Linked DNA regions of Drosophila melanogaster. The protein of the gene in region 2 interacts with the protein of the main gene of each other region in a pairwise test. Each region holds a gene or a part of one and is shown on either strand. Other genes may lie near its edges.

What was found.
Region 1: the proteins of Alg-2 (region 2) and POSH interact in a two-hybrid assay, tested with the Drosophila melanogaster proteins (one study listed by BioGRID).

Annotation. Positions count from the first base shown.
Region 1 is NT_033778.4:17,567,161-17,573,078, reverse strand, and holds POSH (plenty of SH3s), read right to left. Parts: upstream 4,348-5,918; 5' UTR 4,016-4,347; coding exon 3,902-4,015; intron 3,834-3,901; coding exon 3,725-3,833; intron 3,558-3,724; coding exon 1,913-3,557; intron 1,846-1,912; coding exon 1,666-1,845; intron 1,607-1,665; coding exon 1,313-1,606; intron 1,252-1,312; coding exon 1,077-1,251; 3' UTR 757-1,076; downstream 1-756. Other genes in the region: CG42239 (uncharacterized protein), read right to left, coding at 46-156; UQCR-6.4 (Ubiquinol-cytochrome c reductase 6.4 kDa subunit), read left to right, coding at 375-427, 556-676; Ns2 (nucleostemin 2), read left to right, coding at 4,751-4,960, 5,348-5,918.
Region 2 is NT_033777.3:3,621,493-3,628,362, reverse strand, and holds Alg-2 (Apoptosis-linked gene-2), read right to left. Parts: upstream 5,221-6,870; 5' UTR 5,147-5,220; coding exon 5,088-5,146; intron 5,034-5,087; coding exon 4,658-5,033; intron 1,454-4,657; coding exon 1,352-1,453; 3' UTR 673-1,351; downstream 1-672.

The DNA.
Region 1 (5,918 bases), on a different chromosome or scaffold from region 2:
AAATTACTTAAAATTAACCATTCTGATAAGCACTATCTGCCGTACCTTCATATCGCCAGATATCAGAGTCCAAAGGAAAACGAACACCGCCGGTATCACAGTGGACAGGACAAACAGCTCGAATGTGTTAAGCTCCCCAAAAACGGATATTTTCATTTTAATTTCGTAATTTTTGATGAGTTCTTTGCGAATATTAGTTTTTGTTGATGACTAGTTGTTGTTCTCACGTAGGCCGCACAGTGTTGTCACACCTTGCTTTTAAAGTTTTACGCTATCCTACGGTCACACTGTAGTGGTATTATTTAGGACATTTGAAACTATTGCGTTCATTGCGAACATTTTGGTGCGTGTGAAAAGTTATTAAATCAACAAAAATGGCTTTCCGCATACCTTTTGGCAAGAAGCACGCTGAGATAGCGAGTTCCTTGTAAGTATATGCTGTCGTGCTTGATTCTGCATCATGAATTCATTAGTGTTCCCGCTCTTTTACTGCTACCAAAGCACACATTGCATAACCCCATCCAGAGAACTAAACTAGTTTCTTTTAATTCGTAGCATCCGATCTGGAGCCGGATTCGGAGGAGCTGCTGGCCTGGCCGTGCTTTACTACACCGACTGGAAGCTGGTCCTACAGTACGTGCCCATCTACGGATCCAAGTTCGAAAAAAGCGAGTAACCTTGCCTGCCGTAGTTGAATCCACAGTTAGCCTCGATGTTTTGCTTGGTGAATAAAATAAGTTAAAACGACCAAAGGGTATTACTGAGTATCGTATATTACAAATAACTTTGTAGAGGGCACAAGGATCGGTTAGATTATTTCTCTAGCTAACTAATCGCTAAGGCTTAAGTAACTGTTCCCTAAGTCTTACATGGCTAGCCTATTTTGATCAAGCATTGTATAAAAAAGTACAACGGCGAGCTGCCCATTCGATTGGAAGAGTACAAAACGGTTTCTTTTTTGAAAAGAGAAATATGAGATTGCGTATTTGGAAGCCCGAATAGACCGACGATTGAATCCTTTTAGACAAGTAATTTGGAATTTCGCTTAATAAATTCTAGTTTGAACCATAACTTTCCTAACAATCCGGTTCAACAAAGGAGGCGGGGAACAGCCCGGTTTTGTGGGTACGGGCATGGGTGCCCTTATACCAGCCGTTCTTCTGCTTCCGCTGGACGTAGATAATGTCGCCCAAATGTAGCTCTAGTTCAATGTCACTGTTTGGTGGATACGGCACAATGCAGCGGAATCGACTACGATAAAAGGTTGCATTAGTAAATCTCTAAGCTCACAATAATGTATTGCAAAACCCACCTTTCCCTCGTGCAGTAAGGAGACTTAGTGGTGGCGCTGGCCTTAATGGCCGCCTCCGTGATCATATTGCTGCTGGGACTCAGCACATGACTCGCATCTAGGCTGTGCGACTTCCGATGGCTGGGTGCAATAATCATATTGGCATGCAACTGGGATTGCGCTCCACCTCCAGGAATCACCTGTTGCTGACCGCCGGCGTAGACAGCTGGGGCCACGGAAGTAGTAGGTGGCGGCGGCGACGCGGCATTGTTGTACATACTGCGAAATGTAGCTGCATCTAATGATTGTCTCGCGCTGAATCAAAATCCAAGAGTCAGTTAAAAGTTAAAGCATTCAAATTAAGCCTAACGAACCAAATCAAGTGAGGACGTTCCTTGCTTCCTTTCACGCGTTGCGATCCGTACGAAACGCTGTTCGTAGAAGCGGAAGGCAGCTGCTTGGGTAGGAACTGCTGTTGTTGTGCCGCTGTCTTGGCTGCTGGAGTTTCATTGAGCGGTTGACTGTGCTGCAGCTGACTGGGGCACGAGCCGGATCTGAAGAGACAAAACAATTAAACTTTTATTCTGGTCTATAAAGATAACTTATTATTGCGGATCTAACCTTACATGTACTGGATGCAATTTAGCTGATGGGTTTGTTGTAAATTCCACATTTGTGCTAATAGCTTCTTTCGGAACTTGCTGCAAGGACGCTCCCGGAGATTTGGAGCGTGTTTTCATGTGAGTTAATCTCCTCATAAGTCCCACTGCTCCAGAGGAACTGCTGCTCGTAGTCGAAGCTGTGGCAGTTTCAGGCTTGGGCTCCGATTTTCTGCTGAACAGCGCCTCCACTGGTTTCGACCACACAGAGCAACTGGTGGTCGTGGCGGTAGCCTGCTGCTGACGAGGTGGCAAATCAGGCGGTTGCATGGACAGCATGTTGTTGAGTCGCACATCTGGTGCAACTGGATGCTGCTGTACTTGTGCCATCTGGGCGTCTGCATTTTGGGGAACATATTTCCATTGATGCATTAACTGCTGCTGGTCGCGGGCGCGCAGGGGCGTCAGGTAGTTGCCCGGGAACACTCCAGTGATGTCCAACCAGTTTTTTCCCTTGAACCAACCGTCCACACATCGTTCGGTCACAATGTAAACACAACCCTTTTTTAATTCCAGCTCATCCGTTTGGCGTGGTTTGTATGGGAACAGGGCTAAGTATCCCCAGGGTAAATTCGGTTGCATCTGCTGCTGAACAGTGGTCTTAAGTACACGCGATGTCTGTGGGGCTGACGTGGGTTTTAGAGCTGTTGAGCTGGAAACTTCCAAGCGGCTTAGTTCATGGGGCAGGCTAAGAATTTCAGCCGAATGGCGGTTGGTCTGCAGCAGACTTAATGGAGCTCCTCCTCCCAGCAAAGCATTTAGTGAGTGGCGTTTCTCCTTTGCTCCCTTGTCACGGAAACGAACAGACGCCGATCCGGAAGCTACTACATGTTGGGGGGTATTCGGCAGTGAGATTTGGTGATTCGGACTGCAGTTATTCGAGCTGGATGTGGAGCTTGAATTGCTGCTGCCCGGCGTGGAATTGGAGGATCCCGAACTGGATTCCGTGACCACCGTGGGATCAATAACTGGAACCGGAGGAAGGGCCCGCTGCCCCTGTTGCTTCGGTGGATGGCAGAATGGATGGGTGTGTAGCCCGCTGTCCAACAGCTTTTTGGCCGCTGCATTCAGCTCAACGAATGCTATTGGAAAGATTCCGATGGTCTGGCCAATTCGTCCTTCTGCCCAATTATGATCAACTCGGCGCATTACCTGTATTACAGTGCTTTTCTTAAATTCGAGGCATCCCTCCTCGTCGTTGGGCCCCATCTTAAAGTCATACATGGCAATGCACTGCGGCATGGGCAGCGGAACCGATACCTTGACGTAGTTGATGGGAAATGTGCCCTCCTGACCATTCGCTTGACCCACAAACCAGTTGTTGTCGATGCGATGCTTGATCAGTATCAGATCCCCTTTCTTGAACTTTAGATCGGTGGCTTCACCGGAGGCGAAGTCAAAGAGGGCATAGGCGTGGGGGAGTAGAAATCGACGTTGCTTGTGACGAGCCGGCTGATGAGATTGCTGATGTGACTGCAGCTGGAGTAGTTGGTTGTCAGGCGGGGCCACTGATTCCGCTGGCGGCTGAGGTTTGGCCCTTTCCGGCTGTGTTTCAGTCTCCTCTCCCTTTTCTTCTCCTTTGCCAGCTGCTGCATTTTGTTTCATGCCTGTGAGAATTAAAGAAAGGGTGTTTAAAGGTAGGTAAAGACCAGGTAAACGCCATATTCAATTGCCAAAGCCACTTTGCCGCACTCATAAAGTCAACCATTCTTTGATTTTGAGCGTAGGCTGTTGTGCTGTGCCAGTTTAGGTTGGTGTGGGCGTTAGCTGTTACCTTCTAAGATTCGCATCAGCAAGACGTTTGGAGGCAGCTCATCAATTTTGCAAGAGACCAGGATGCGGCACTCCGGGCATCGCAACTTGTGCTGACTGGCCACAATGTCCTGGCATAGAATGATGAAATCATTCGGTTATATGATATATATGTAGCAAACCCACAACAATTACTCACCTGCAAGCATTTGCGGCAGAAGGTGTGCTGGCATGGCAGCACCTTCGATGTGGTGTCCAGTCGCTCAAGACACACGGAGCACTCCAACAGGTCGTTTAACGTGTGCTCGTCCATCTTGCCAGTATGCAAAATCTCAAGGATGGTCACTATTTGAATTTCGTGCAGGGCCACATTCCAAAACACACACACATGCAGGTACTGGCTCACGCATACGCAATCCCAAGACGCGGTTGGGAAATAAATTTAGCTCAAATGCTAAAATCTACTATTATAATCGCTACTTGTCGTTCTTAATGCACTAAATCAGATTATATTATCGTTGCAATAGGCAGGATTCAATGTTTAATTTATTAAGTTTGCCAAGTGCAGCCAAAGCTCGTGGCCAAGCGGATACAAATGTACATAGGCACACGGATATAAAACCAGCTTGATACTTGAACACAGTGATGGTCATAAGTATATGCCCAATAGGAATAGTAGTTCCATAACATTTAACCAAAAAGAAAGAAGCTAAGAGAGTACTACATGTTTTTTAAATTCACTAAATTTGCAAAAAATTATTTAAATACCACATGTGCCCCGGTTATAGTTGCATTTAATAAATGCAAATAATTGTTAAGTTGTACCCAAACTGGTGTTTATTACTGTTGGGATTTTAGTGTGGCCAGTCCTCGTAGTCGATATTTTCTGAAGCGCATTTTAGTGTTGGATACTAAGTCCAGACAGTGCTGAAAAACGCACGATCCCTTTGTTTTTTTATTTCATATAAAAACACGTGTGGTTTGGTTTGATCGTGTTCAAATATACGATTTGATTTATAAACAAGGCACACGACATTCTTGAGACACCATGCCAAAGGTACGCAGCACCCCGGGTAAGCCCCGGACGCAGGGATTCAACCACTCAAACCACTCCATGAATCCGGAGCGCCCCAAAAGCGGTCTCAAGGGAGTCGCCCACCCCCGCACTAAGGGCACCATCAAGCGGCTTCAGATGTACCGTAACTTCAAGGCCAAGCGCGATCGCACTGGAAAGATCCTCACGCCCGCCCCCTTCCAGGTGAGATTTAGCTTTACAACATGTATCTTCGATAATTCTTATCTTTGGATTCATAAGATTTACCATCACTTATAGACATAGGAAGGATTTATTGCAACATGAATATCCAATAACCATTGTTTAGTTTTCAAAATTATCATCTACTTCACAAAGGTGCAATTAAAACGATCGACTCAAAATTAAAAGCATTAAAAGATAAAAAGATTTCATAAGTATATTTTGTTACGACTTATTATCCGTATAATAATTTAATTACAAATCTTATGTTTTCATTCTTGTTGTAAATATATAAAAGAAAAAATTAAATACAAGAGAGAAAATGCCGAATATGTTTTCCACAACCCATTTAATAATTCATACTAATCCTGGAAATGTGCTTTATTTTAGGGGCGCCTGCCTGCTGGAACAATGGCTCGAGTTGAGCCTACGCCCAAGTGGTTTAGCAATTCCCGCGTTATCTCGCAAACTGCTTTGCAAAAGTTCCAGGATGAGATTGGCAAGGCTGTCAAGGATCCCTACCAGGTGATCATGAAGCCATCCCAGTTACCGGTAACTTTACTGAACGAGGCAGCAAAATACAAAAGGGTTCATTTGCTGGACACCGAGAGCTTCGACAGTACCTTTGGGCCCAAAAAGCAGCGCAAGCGCGTCAGCCTAAAGGTTCGCGATCTGGAAGATTTAAGCAAGGCGGCCGATGACCAGGCCGATAAGTACGATTCAGCTAAGGATTTAGATCTAATCCGCGAGGATACTGGCGAAAAGAAGGCCGTCCGTGATTGGGTGTTCGGTGCGGGGCAGAGTAAACGCATCTGGAACGAGTTGCACAAGGTGGTCGATGCGTCCGATGTGCTGCTTCAGGTTCTTGATGCCCGCGATCCCATGGGCACGCGCTCGAAGTACATTGAGGAGTTCTTGCGCAAGGAAAAACCGCACAAACATCTATTTTTCATTCTGAACA
Region 2 (6,870 bases):
GGACAGACGGACATGGCTAGAGCGACTCGGCTATTGATCCTGATCAAGAATATATATACTTTATATAGTCGGAAACGCTTTGTTCTACCTGTTGCATACTTTTCAACGAATCTAGAATAGTCTTTTACTCTACGAGTAACGGGTATATGTAATTAAAAATTAGACTTCCCTAAGAAGCTGTAAATCTTCTGTCGACTCTTCAGCGAACAGCTCTTTTCTACGCATACAGTGATGGCAGACAACTGTATGTGTGCACATGTATGCTCGTGCATTGTAAATTTGACTAAATATGTCCTTCACCTTAGAAGTTCTTAGACTTTAAATGTATATTATTTTTGATCAATTGGCACAATTGGCGAAAAATTCTTGTTTTGCATTGCCTAAACGTTATTATTATTTAAATATAGCTTAGAAATAGTAATAGCCGAATCATATCGCAAAATAAATTTCAAAAATGACTTTATATTAGAATATTTGTCATTAGAGTATTCAGCTTGCGGCGTGTGAAAAATTAACACGGCAATGATCGTTGAGTGCTTGTGTCCGCACTTTGTGCTTTGTATGACCAAAGCAAAAACACTTGAATAATTCTAGTGTCTTTGATATGACTTCTGCAATAAACAGTTTTCATATTTTTTTTATTTAATAAGTTTATATTTTCTACTACGTATTATTTTTATGAAATATTTATTTCTCAATGTAATGTCTTCTTTTTGGAAAAAGAAGTAGTAGTTATAATAATTTCCTTTGTATGTATGTAAATGATCCAGTTTTATTATTTAAAATGCACATTAGGTTGTTTTTCATATTGAGTTTTTTTTTATATTCTAATTTAATATTTTTAAACAGCGCGCAATTTCATCATATTCCTACGAAATTGGCCAAAACTCCCCAAATATGTAAATCGGCCCGAAAATCGTCTTCTATCACAACACGCACACATATACGCGTTCTGGTCTCTGGTTTTGCTCACTCAAGCAAGAAAATTCTATTTTTAGATTTCTTCTCTCAGCGTAAGCGAGCGGACACAGGGCAATTTTGGCCGTCACCAAAAAAGTGGCTGTATAGTGCTAAACCAATGTATGGCCGTTACGCATCTTGTTATTCTACTGTCTTTGGTTGAACTGTTGCGGTCTTAGAATCACAGTATATTAGAAATTCCTGGAGAAATCTGAAGAGATATTTTCGTCTATCGCCTAAGTTATAACAGTTTTTATTATCAACATTTAAAAAGTTTTTTGGTAAAAAACTCTTAAAAGGAGGTATGCTCTTTCGAATAAAAACTTTTAGCAATATGTGTAGCTGTGTATAGCGCAAAACAAATCATTTATTTAGTTTAGATCACTTAATACTATATTTTTAACGAAAATACCATACTTAAGAACTGTTCGTAATGTATGGTTATGATCCCATCCAAGTCAGTGTCGTGCTGGCGGAATGCAGTTGTTAATGTCTGTAATAGAAAAATTTAGTAATATTAATATATGTCCGGGGTCCGAGTAAGATCGCGGCAGGAGAAGCTGTAAAAGTAGATCAGCAGGAGAAGCTACAGGTGTGTGGAATTCCGCATAGACAGCCGCAAGCGTGGACTAAAGCCAAAAGTTGTTATAGGACATTTATTTATTTTTTTTTTTTTGATATTTTTGAATAATTTATATAGTTGTGTAAATTTCTATCGATTCGCCAAAAAACTTTTTGCCATGTCCACTCTAACGCCCTAAAACCGCCCAAAGCTGCCACTGCCTAAAGTAACGGGTATCTGATAGTCGGGGAACTCTACTATAGCATTCTCTCTTGTTTTTTTTTAGTGGATTCCTGGTTACATTTGTGTTATTATAAATAGGTGTGTGTTTTTTCAAACGATTATCGCTAATTGAGGATATCCGTAAATCGATTGTGCATTTTTCGTTGTTTCATTCGCTGTTTTCGCGCATTCAAAGTGCATCATTTTGATTTTTCTTACAAACATTTTTCAACATCTTAGTACGACTTAGTAAAAAAAAATGCAGCGACCACGACGTTCAAATCTTGCAACGCGAAGTAGAACAGCGCGGCGGTTGGCAAGTCTTCGTCAGCGTGAATTGCGCATAAGAAGAAAGTGAAACAATAATGCGTGAAGAGGACGTCGTTCTGCTGCACGTGATAATCAAGAAACTGAAAACAGACGTGTGCGGCGTAAAAATATTGAGACGGACTTGAATTGAGCATCATATCGTTTTGATGCTATAATGAATGGCACAATCAATGCATTGATTTTGGTGCGATGATTGTTTTATGCCAGCATTGTAACGCACGCAAATATCCAAAAGAAACTATAGGGTTGTGCTTTGCTGATGAAAAGTGCCACCATTTCAACCAGAGCCATTACAATCTCTTCTGTCTGGTGATGGTTCAGTTTCATAACATTTCTTAGCTAACATTTAGATGTATTGAAAATAGTTTCATGCCAACCGTTAAAATAATTTATATTTTGATTTTGCAATGGACGAGCAAACATGGACACAAACATCATTTAACAACGACATCTTATTTTCATCACAACATAACATATAACTTTCTTGATTTATAATTTATTTATGGGTCAAAGCGGTTTGACAACAGTGCATTTACCTTAATTTCGACAGATTCAAGGTTTATCATATTGTGGGTTCACTTATGCCAGTCCCAAATTCGGATCATCGCTTTTTTCATTAATAAATAAATTTTTCCATTCAAAATTTATTGCTACAAATAAGTCAATGAAGAAGACGACGTTTTAATTATCTAATTTAGTTTTTAAGTTAATTGAAATTACCAAGGCTGTCCCCGCATATAATGTTAATTTTGTTAAGAAACATCAATCAGCCGCGTCTTTGCTACGGTACGGGACTAACGAAATTTGTACGAAATTTAAAATTTCACAAAATAAAATTTATAACTTAAAATTTGACGTTTGGGAAATTTATTTAAAATTGATTCGATTATTTTTAATAAGCAACTCAACTTTATTTTCATATACGCTTAAGCCTAACTAATCTAAGGGCGAGTTCTGCGGAAAAGTTTTCTGAGGAAAGGAAAGTTTTATTGCACTCTCGATCCCGCTCCCAGTGCGTTAACTAAAGTCCACTAACAGCTCAAAATTGTCACCATCACACTTAAATGTTTTAGCTTTCATGTTAAATATCTAGCGATATACAAAAATTTTCCGAATCACTCCCTCAGTTTAGAAGATTTTATTAAATGATTGTCTAGCCATAAATGTAAACGACGAACATTTTGATAATGTAGAAAAATCAAGAGATAAGGCTATAGTCGAGTTTCACGACTATCAGATACCCGTTAGTTCAGCTAGTTCACGTGGGACATAGAATTTTCAACATTTTCAAGGAATAACAAGAGAAATTGAGGGGAAAAATAATTTTAATGTTCTAAGGTCTGGCCGAGATAGATTTGGGTGGTGTCCAGAGTGGGCGTGGGCAAAATGTTTTCGCCATATCGATAAAATTGGAAAAACAACTGAAAAAAAAGAGAGAGTGCTATAAACAAGTTCCCTGACTATTAGATACCCGTTACTCAGCTAGTGTGAATGCGAATGCGAAATTTTTTTATTCTTCTGGGATATCGATAGATATTGGGGATTAAAATGAGAAAAAATTTAAGAATTGTTCCAAAGTGTGGGCGTGACCGGTTCGACGACTTTAGGGCGTTAAAGTGGGCGTGGGAGAAGCTGCGTCTATGTCTCTAGAATCTGTATGCTTAATCTCAACCTTCTAGCTTTAATAGATTCTGACATATAGATTTACACTCGGCTGTTGATCCTGATCAAGAATATATGCTTATTTTTGCCTGTTACAGACTTTTAATCTAGTATAACCTTTTGATTTGTGGGATTAAAACGTTCTAAAGAAAATATGCCCTGCGTAAGCATTGCTAGAATCACTAGTTACTCTACGAGTAACGGGTATAACAAATTAGAATGCTATGGTAAATTACCTTGCCTATCATAGCTTAAAAGATGTGTATTTAGATATTGATAGAAATAAGTAAAGTTGTGGACGCTTTAGCCGCTTTGTGGGATTGCTAGAATCACTAGTTCACAACGTTTATACTAGTGTTTCTGATCAGGGATATACACACTTTATAGGGTCGAAACCGCTTCCACTACATACTTCTCAACGAACGAACGGGTATACTACCCGTTTACGAGTAAAAGGTATAAAAAGGATGGCATAGAGGGAAATGCGCCAACAACGGGAAACGACAACAACTTATATATGAATATAATCAATAATAGGAAATATAGACATAAGCACTCTCAGCTAAACTTTACACATCCTTAGCGAGCATAACAATGGGAAAAGCATTGCTATAATATCTCCAACTTCTCCAACTTGCACACCCCCAATCGAAGTAATGGGTATCTGATGATTAGCATACCTCCCGTGCACTCCCACTACCTGAGTAACTGGTAGTAAAGAACTCGACTATAGCGTTCTGACATATTTATAAGTGGTGAGCGTTTGTTTGCAAAGACATTAGAAAAAACCCGAAACGCCATACAATTTTTTCGTGCTGGCTTCAAAGCTATCTCAAAAATTTTTTCATAAGCCAGACAGCGAAAATCTCTAGAGCCAACAGCTACCTTGTACTCATATATTGCAATAACAGTCATACTTACATACAGCACAATACAACATTGAATAAAATCATCGAAAAGAATTGTACCACGCCCAAAGCGGTCAAATTTTCGTAGTAAGACGTCGATTAGGTGGTCAGATAAACGATAACCAAATGATGTCAGTGCTGTTTTCAGCTCAGTTTTGTCAATATTTCCAGAATTGTCACGATCAAAGGATCGAAAACAATTTTGCCAATCCGTCACATACTTCCACAACGCTCCAAAATCTTTAAAGGACACAGTCCCTTTATTTTCACGATCAAACATTCCAATCATCAAACGGATAGTCTCCGGATTAAATGCAGACCAGGTACCATTCGAAAGGGCCACTTGTAGCTCATCTGCGGATATATGACCACTCCTATCTTTATCCACTCTAAAAAAAAGTCGCTTTATCGCTAGTTAGAAGTATTTATTCTGTGACTGTTACCTTTGAAAAACATCCCAAAGAAATTGCTGGTCTGGCATACCATCATGATTGTAGGCCATTGGTGGATACAATTGGTTTGTTACAGTGCAAACTTTGCAGAATAAAACTGTTATCGTTTATTTGAGGACATACAATTTTTGATTAATATCAATGTGCAATAATTTGACAATTTTAATTATACCATATTCCAACAGACCTAAATGTTTCATTATAGACTATTCGCACAGACAACAGTTGAGAGATTTAATTCTAATATATGATATAGATTATTTATATCGCCATTAGTAAGCTAGCTCAACAAGTTTTGACATAGTTTTAAGATTTAAGATATGTAATTAAAAGGAAATAGGTCTGTTAAAAAATCGCTTTTCCGTAACCAATTTTTAAAATTGACTAATGGATTAGCTAACGGAAAATCCCTCTTCTGTTTTAGGAGAGTAAATATATAGATATAGAATAAAACACCTAAACGCATATATAACGAAACTTTTTTCCCTAACCTTCAGCTATTTATATGGCACAACTAAACTGCAGATTAACCACCCACAGGTAGACCTTTAAGAATGCTACAGAAAACACTTTCGCTTCAATTTCGCTACAGCACGAAAACACTCTCTTTGACTCTTTGATCAAAGTCAAAAACACATACAAAATTTTTTTTTACAAAATTTAAAATTATTCTTTTTAAGTGATTAAAATAGCCGTATTAATAATTACATATGTAAGCATAATCATTATGGCCCAGTGCCCAATCCAATACAATTTGTGCACCTGCAGTGACACTATTTAGTAAGAATTTAGAATAATATTATATAAAAACACGAAACCAGAGTAGAATTTTTGGAGTATCAGATACCCGATACTCATCTAGGGGGAGAGAGCTGTAGAAATTTAAAAATATTTGTTTCTTTGTTAAGCTTTAATATATTAAACTATTTATTAAATTTTTAGGTGACGATTTATTTTGCCATTTCATTAGAAACTGGTAAAGCAAAAAATGAAATTTAAAATCATAGTTCAAAAAATTTTTTAAATGGAGGAATAAAAATTTTGTACGTTTGTGTCAAACCCAAACTAAGGCAGACGAAGCGTGTCAGGTAATTGAGCCAATTGGAACATTATCATCGGGGATATAACATTGTTCCAAAGTGTGGGCATGACTGGCTGGTCGACTTTTGGGCGATAGAGTGAGCGTGGCAAAAAGTTTTTTGGCAAATCGATACAAATTTACAGGATGGCATTGCCGGCCGTCCTAACACAAGTAACAGCCAACGATTACCAGCTATCTCTGGAGTACGAACATGACGTGAGTTTAAAGAACTTGGAAAAGATGGCCGAGGTCATTCCTAACGGAGGCAGAATTGGCTCTGCTCACCTTTTCTCTCTTGTGTTTCCTGTGGAGGAAACCAGGCAATATCACCGTGATCTCGCATCCGCCCGTTGCCTCCGGACAGACCAAGGCTACTTAACCTGTGGGACGCAGGTCTTAAAGGGGGAGGAGTTAAAACGCAGCACTTTCTTCTCGGGGTAAGCGGGGCAGTTCCTACCCCACCACCATCGCAGCGTCAGCATCTGGCTCGCTGGCACCACTGCAGCGGCGGTCATTGTTCTGTAAGCGGTTCAGTTCGTACCCCACCTTCATCGCAGCGTCGAAGCCGACAACATTAGCGTCCGGTTGATTGAATTTTTCTATCCTAAGTGTATTGAAATAAATTGATTATTATATATGGAATATATTACGAATTGTTATAGATCATCTGGATCATCATCACCTTTTTTAGGA